2 linked regions of the Macaca mulatta genome follow. The protein of the gene in region 2 interacts with the protein of the main gene of each other region in a biochemical or structural test. Links are inferred from orthologs where the notes say so. Each region holds a gene or a part of one and is shown on either strand. Other genes may lie near its edges.

What was found. The genes of interacting proteins can lie anywhere in the genome.
Region 1: the proteins of UBE2D1 (region 2) and TRIM22 form a complex in vitro, tested with the Homo sapiens proteins (2 studies listed by BioGRID). The link is inferred for Macaca mulatta from reciprocal best matches to the Homo sapiens genes UBE2D1 and TRIM22.

The regions. Positions count from the first base shown.
Region 1 is NC_133419.1:69,875,113-69,879,277, forward strand, and holds the start of TRIM22 (E3 ubiquitin-protein ligase TRIM22), read right to left. Parts: upstream 2,873-4,165; coding exon 2,450-2,872; intron 1,861-2,449; coding exon 1,765-1,860; intron 801-1,764; coding exon 570-800; intron 1-569. UniProt on the Homo sapiens protein: Interferon-induced E3 ubiquitin ligase that plays important roles in innate and adaptive immunity.
Region 2 is NC_133414.1:91,499,522-91,503,171, forward strand, and holds part of UBE2D1 (ubiquitin-conjugating enzyme E2 D1), read right to left. Parts: intron 1,807-3,650; coding exon 1,729-1,806; intron 660-1,728; coding exon 554-659; intron 1-553.

The sequences.
Region 1 (4,165 bases), on a different chromosome or scaffold from region 2:
GAATACACAAACATAACATGATTTATTCAGATAATGGAATAGTATTAGCAATAAGAAAGAGCAAAATGCTGATACATACTGCAATATAAATAAACCTCAAAATATTATGCTAAATTAAAGATGCCAGATGCAAAAGACTACATGTTGTATAATTCAGTTCATATTGAAATGTCCAGAGAAGCCAATTCTATACAGACAGAAAACAGATTGGTTGCCAGGAGGTGGAGGTAGAAGCAGATATTGACTGTAAACAGGCATGAGAAATGTTTTTGATGTGATGGGGAAGTTCTAAAACGAATTTGCTCATGGTACAAAGAATCTTCTCTCCAAGCTCAAATTTTTACACTGCCTCTCATAAGTAAATAATAAAGGGAATTTCCTTTGCCACTCATACACTTAATTATCTCTGTGACTCCTGAAATGATGGGCATAAAAGGGGCACTGCCAGGCCAAAGGAACCATTTAATGTCACCACACAGAAGAAAGCCTAGAGACTGGGAAGGGAAGGAAAATCAGCCTCTGTGTTTTTCCCCTAATCTCATATGTAGGTGCTCCATCCCAAGTCTTACCTGCAGCATCTCTATTGATGACCCCCTCAACCTCCGCTGGAGATCTGAGATGAGCTTGCTGGCATCCTGCCTCTGCTGGACCAGCTGGTCTCTAGCTGCTGCCAGGTTATCCAGCACATTCACCTCACCTTCCTCCAGCTTTTGCAGCTCTCTCTGCTCCTCACTGTCCAAGATGACTCTCATTTCATTGAACCCTTTCAGAATCTTCTGTCTCTCGAGCTGGATATAATTCTTGAATGAGAAGAGAAGAGAAAGAGGCAGTCAGTCTGGCTGGTTGAAGGCCTGCTTTGTATGAGCCTGGGAGCCAGGATAAGAACTGTTTTCCTCAGGGAGTTCTCAAAAGGAATACGAGGCAAAAGCCAATACACAATTTCTGGTGAAGCCATGCTTTTCTATTTTTTAACCGGAACTCCTTCCAAAGCAATACACTCAAGTCTTTTATTGAGGCCTAATCTGAGACAAAATGTGATGCTTGGGTGAGGCTTGGATTATAGACACCTGTCCTGAACAACCTTGCCTTTCTCTCTCTTAAATCCCTTTACCTGGTCGGGCACAGTGGTTCACGCCTGTAATCCCAGCACTTTGGGATGCAGAGGTGGGCGGATCATGAGGTCAGGAGATCAAGACCATCCTGGCTAGCATGGTGAAACCCCATCTCTACTGAAAATACAAAAAATTAGCCGGGTATGGTGGCACGTGCCTGTAGTCCCAGCTACTTGGGAGGCTGAGGCAGGAGAATCGCTTGACCTGGGAAGGCAGAGGTTGCAGTGAGCCGAGATCACTCCACTGCACTCCAGCCTAGATGACAAATCGAGACTCTTGTCTAAAAAAAAAAAAAAAAAAATTCCCCTACCCAAACCACCTAAACAGGGAATCCTGGGTCTTTCCTCAGGTTGTTTACTGGAAGGATTGGAGCCTCAAACTTGATGACACAAATGGAACACAGGATTCACAGGAAGCATTTTCACAGGTATTTCCCTCCATGCCTTCACTTCCAAATATTGTGTTGATTTATGATATGTCTGCTCTCCAGCCCCCAAACTCCAACAGGGAAGGAATTAAATGAGACCTAATCATATGACTTCTATAACTGTTAATTCTAGCACAGCAAAGGGGAAGTGGTCTCCTTGTGATAGAGCCCAAGGTCCTGCCCAGATTCCTGTCTAATTATCCCTTAGGAGGTGTCTCCTCCTGCCTTCCAGACGGTTCTCTCTTGTCTGACGTCATCTTCCAGCTTCTCAGCTTCTTGATCCTCCTTTGTCAGCTTCTGCAGGGCTGCCTGCAGCTTTTCCTGTGAGAAAGAAATTATACCAGAGTAAAGTTATGAGTTTTCTCAGCACCTGGATAGAGGATAGCAAGGAAGAAATTGGATGGCTCTCAGAAGGGACTAGTTTACAGAAACAGTGAGGCTGGTGATTAGAACCTATGGCATGGGGGAAAATCTGAGGAGATGAACGTATTCTTTATTACTGGATGATGGAAGTTACCATCCCCTTATCAAGAGTAGCCTGATTCTTTTCCTAGAGAAAAAGCAGACCCTGCATTAAGGAAAGACTTCCTTTCATTGCCACTTTTGCCACATCTAACAAGACATGTTCTCAAAAACACCTTTCTTCTCGGAGTGGCAATTAAAGCTTATCTTACAAAGCAATTCTCCATTCATTCAACTTTTCCTTGCTAAAAAATGTACTCTTTTAAATAAAAGCAATGTGCAGCACTGTCCTTCAGGCTTCAGAAACTAAGTAAAGAGTTTGGAAAGAGATCACAGGGCTCTCAGTTCTATGGTGAAAAGGGGAATAAAGCAGGACAAAAAACGTGGAGATTTCACATCAGGTACCATTTCTGCTCTCTGCTTTCTCTTCCTCTACCTTGGAGCCTACCTGACATTCCTTGACCACCTCGTTTATGCGGAATGTTTGGTGACCTTGGTGTTCCTGAGACAGTTCACAAACCCAGCAAATGACTTTTCCATCTTCCTTACAGAAGATCTGGAGTTTTTTTCCATGGTGCTCACAGATGTCTCTCTTCTGCCCCTCCTGTGGGCTCATCTTGACCTCCTTGACTCTCTCAACTATGTTGGCCAGATGCCGATTAGGTCGGAGCTTCCCAGGCTGGAATCTGCTCTGACACACAGGACAGCTGCTTTCTCCTCTTGAGATGGTCACTGACTCCTTGATCTTTGCAGTGATGCAGGCTTGGCAGAAGCTGTGGCCACAATCCAGGCTCAGAGGTTCTGTTAGGAGCTCCAGGCAGATGGGGCAGGTCACCTCCTTCTCTATGTCTACCTTTACTGAGAAATCCATTGCACTGCTCCCTTGGCTTCTTTCTGTCTTGACTCTTGAACCTCTTGGTCAGAAAATCCTGCAGTGCTGGAAATGTTGAAGGGGACATGGTAAGAAAAGCGGGAATAGAAAGAATACTGCTTTTACAGAGATTTAGAACAGGACCAAAAATTAATATTTAACAGAGAAAGGAGAAAAGAAAGGCAAGAAGAATAAACCAATGACAGAATAAAATGGACTTTGTAGTAATTTGAAACAGTTTATTCTTAATTTTTGTCTCAGGACAAATTTCACCCCATCAAGGCAATTATTGTTATTTTCTCTTCTACTGGAGAGGACAAACTGAAGCTTTTCTACCAAGAGGTTCGTGTAACCCATCATTTATCCTGCCTTTTGTTCCCCAACCCAAAACACATTTTCCATGTTAAATGCACTAAGCACACCGCTGCCCCTGGGCTTTCGCACATGCTTTTCTCTCTGGATGACGTGATTGTATCTCTAATATTTGCATGATTCACTAATACTTGTGTATTTTTAAGCTACTGAGTTGTATTTACATAGCATCATACACTCTCATTTTTAAGTGTATAATGTGATAATTTCTACTAAATTTGTGGAACTATATGACTGTTACTGTAACACAATTTAAAATTATTTTTACCACCTGAAAAAAAAAAAAAAAAACCCTAATGCCGTTACTCCTATTCTGATCCCAAGCTCCAGACAATCACTAATATCCTTTGGGTTTTTAATCAATTGATAAAAATAGAATCATAATATATGGTCTTTGGTATCTGAATTATTTTATTTATACTGTTAAGGTTTATCTCCTCTGCTTTTTCCACATGTAAAAAACACCTCCTCAATTAAACTATCAAATCTATGACTCCTCAAGGCTTTTGCACTTGCTCCTCTCTCTCCATAAAATGATCCTTCCCCTGATGTTAGCAAGAGTCATTCTTAAATTTAATTCAATCTCTTAGATGTCCTCTTCTTAGAAGGACATACTATAACTTACTTATAGCAAAACCACCAGTAATATCACTCACTGCACATTTATTTTCTTATTTTTACTATGTAATATATAAGATTGTTCTTTAAATGTCTACTTCTTCCTCCTGAAAAGTAATCCATTCATAGACATGGGACTGTTTTTGTTCACTGATATGTCCTCTATACATAGAAGAGCGAATCACATACAGGAATAAAATGTTGAACGAATATTTAAAGCTACAACTTTCTTATCCCTCCATAGATGATTAGACCTTTGAATCAGATTTTCATCTTTTCTTTCCATCAATTAGCAGTTTCCCA
Region 2 (3,650 bases):
AACATGCTATATGTATTGCATTATCCTAGTGTGAAATGTCTTCCATTTTAAATCATTTATCAATCAAATCTGTTATTTTTTTCTTGGATGAAGTAAAACAGCTGTAAAGCTTTATTACTGTCAACATTTCCATTTAATGAATGGGACAACTAGTCCCAAAATCTTCCTTTTACTATCTCTTATTCTCTCTCTTTTTTTGCAGAGACAGGGTCTCCTATGTTGCCCAGGTCAGTCCTGAACTCTTGGGCTCAAGCAATCCTCCTACTTCAGCCTTCCAAAGTGTTAGAGTAACAGGCATGAGCCACAGTGCCTGGGCACTGTCTCTTTTTTAAAAGATAACACCCAAGCTAAAAGGATAAAATGTCTACACTCCCCTCAACCAAAGCTAACTGCCAAAAGCCAGAGTAACATAAGAGCGGAGAGAGCAAAACAAAATCAAAACAGGAGAAAGCACAGTTGATTGTTGTTTTAAAACTTTAGTCCATAGGTAATTCTGTTGTATTTTTCCTGTCTTACTGTTATCAATTGTTTTAAATCTGATCGATGAAATTACCTTTTGATACAGTCAGAGCTGGTGACCATTGTGACCTCAGAATATCGAGACAAATACTTCCATTACTGTTTATGTTTGGATGGTAAATTTTTGTTGTGAAAGCGATCTAAACATAAAACAAAACAACAAAATATGACAATCACCTTTGAATCAACTATGAATAAAACAGAACCAATTTGCTCTAGGGTAAAATATGTTCAAGTTTACATAACGCTAGAGGAGAAAAGTCTTCGGCACAAATCAAATAATTATCTACTTTGTGCTACACATAGTTCTAGCTAGTGAGAATGTGAACACAAATAAGTCAGCTTCCTTCTTTCTCCCTCCAAGGAACTGAAAAGTATTTTGGACAGTGTAATAAATAAGTCTCTAGTAGCTGGTATGACTGGTTGAGTAGCATCTAAAGTAATTAACCATGGCTTTCATCATACACAGAAGTAATCCTTTTCTTGATTTGATTATTGGTGATACCTAGAAGTAACACTTGGATGTAAAAACAGGGTGCTGGCGCTGTTTCAGGGCAAAGTTGAGGGGTCTCAGCTAAGAAATCCATCAAGAACCCTAATTTTCCACAAGCGTTGTCATATCATTTCATAAATACAATGTTAATCTGCTTTTAACTATTTAAAATAATTATTTCCTGAGTGACAGAATCTGCTCATTTTTCCCCTCCCTGAAATCCCTATCATTTGCTTCCTCTTTAGAGCAAATCTAAATTTAACATGTGTTTCTCTCTCCTACCATACTAAATTAAGGGACTGTTTCATATTTACTTTTGGATTCCTTGGTGTAGAAGAACATGGTAGGTACTCAGTGAATGTTTATTGAATACTTAAAAAAAAAAAAAAAAAAAAAAAACGAGAAAGAAGGATCAACTTTGGAAAGATAATCCCATGAAAAGTCTGACTCTTAATCATAAAAATTTCCCAAACTACACGTATCCAATAAGAAGAGAAAGAAAAGCAAGGAATTAAATTTATAGCATGACAGATACTGACTTTTGTTTTATAGACTTAATAAAGTATTTCAATAAGAAATCAGATTTTAGATTCAGTAGTTTTTATAAAACAGAAAATGCTAATCTCCCCCACAGTCTTTGACATACAAAATGAGCTCTAGATAAAAGAGTAAAATCCCTTACATGGGAGTCACATCAATCATAAAAATAAAAATACCTTTGGTGGTTTAAAAGGATAATCTGTCGGGAAATGTACAGTGAGAAAGAAGACTCCACCTTGATATGCGCTATCAGGCTGAAATTACAAAAGATTTGCATCAGCATTTGATTACTGTATTTATTTGTAACGACAGTTATTTCCCCCAAATATTATCAGTTTGAAAAAAATGCCATCATGTTTAAAATAATTTCATTAAATATTACCAGTTTGAAAAAAATGCAACCATTTTGTCATAAGTTCAAATCATTTACCTTGAGAACAGGTTTCTCTTTGCAGGTACGAAGGAGGATTTTCCAACAATTAGGCCGACATCATAAAATTTAAAACAAAACAAAAACAGGACACACACAGTGGTGTGACTTGTCCAAACAAATCTGGTTATGAGTACAAGTTGTTAAAGATCAGTGTACATACAAGACTGCCGCGGGAAAAGATCATTGTCTGCAGCTGTAAGCAGTATTTTTTTGAAAAAGGCTTGAAGCTAGTAAAACTTAAGTTCTGATGTTCACTTAATGACCAAGAATGGAGATGAACGGAAGAGGCTGTCATGAAAAGAAAATGCTAAGGACCCTGCTACACAATTTATCTGCCAAATCTTCGTGTAGTAATTATTTATAAAATAATGTAGAGAAACCCAAAAAGTCCAAAACAAAATTATATATTCATGCTACTATCAAATTGGGAATCAACTTTACTAGAGAAATTTAGATTTGATCATGTTTCTTTATGGCCATTAGAAAATATAACATTACAAACAAAAAAAAAGGTAAAAAAAGAAAAATGCTAGCAAAATATACCTAAAATTCTATTTTATTCTTTCATATTTCATTAAATATATCATGTTATATCAGCATTCTGGTAATAACACCAAGACTCATTACTTCCTTAAGTTTCCACATATATGCTATAGGATTTTACTGTATAATAATTCTTACTATATATGTTTAATTCTAGTTTCTCAAAAATTGTAAGAAATATAGAAAACGAAGATAAATTACAATGATAGATATGGTCCAGTGTACTGTAGAGTAAATATTTACATTACCAAAGTAAGGGAGTTATGAATAACATAATTATAACCATTCGTTACATGTGATTCACCTAAAAAATATTTGTGAAAGGCCATAATTCAAAAGGTAAGGGTGGGCCTTTAAATGAGAGTATTTTGAAGGTTCTTAGTAACTAATTAAAAACAAACAGAAATACATGGATTCTTATTGAAAGTTGTTATATAAATACATTGTATTTTACCTTTTTAAAAAACAAACTTAATAAAACAATAATTTGAGACAACTGCCCAGAGTCCCGCTTTGAAATTCAGTAGTTTCGGTGTTTTTTAAAGTTAAACACAAGGCCATATGATTAAAAACTCTTTAACTCACTAGATAAAGCTCTTTCAGGGGAGGGAGAAGAGAATGGTGTTCATGAAAATATGTTACTAATGTACTCTCACCCAGAAAGTAGATTTGAGCTGCCAGTGCTCATTCTTATGCAATCAGATTTTTGCTCATAGAAGGAAAAAGCCTGTTTGAAGTCTTAAAACTGCCTCTAAAGTACTGAAAGAAATAATTTTAACAAAAGTAATAACTACTGAGAGTAGCCAATTATCAAACAGTAGATAATTCTGTGTTTAGGACAATGCAACAAAATTAAAAGCAGCAAATTTATAAGGTGGCAAAGACAGACCCATTGTAATATTTTATTTATTCTCTTTCACAAAAAAGAATAGTGATGAGACCTATGGCAAACTGACACTTGTTACTTGTAGGAATTCAATTATTGGCTTCATTAATCTAATTTCTAATGTACCAAAACTGCAGATGTGAGAACGATTATGCTTAATTACAACTAAGTCTCAGTGACTTAAAAAAAAAAAGATAAACACACAGCCTGGTTTCGAGCTGTGGCAATCCATTATG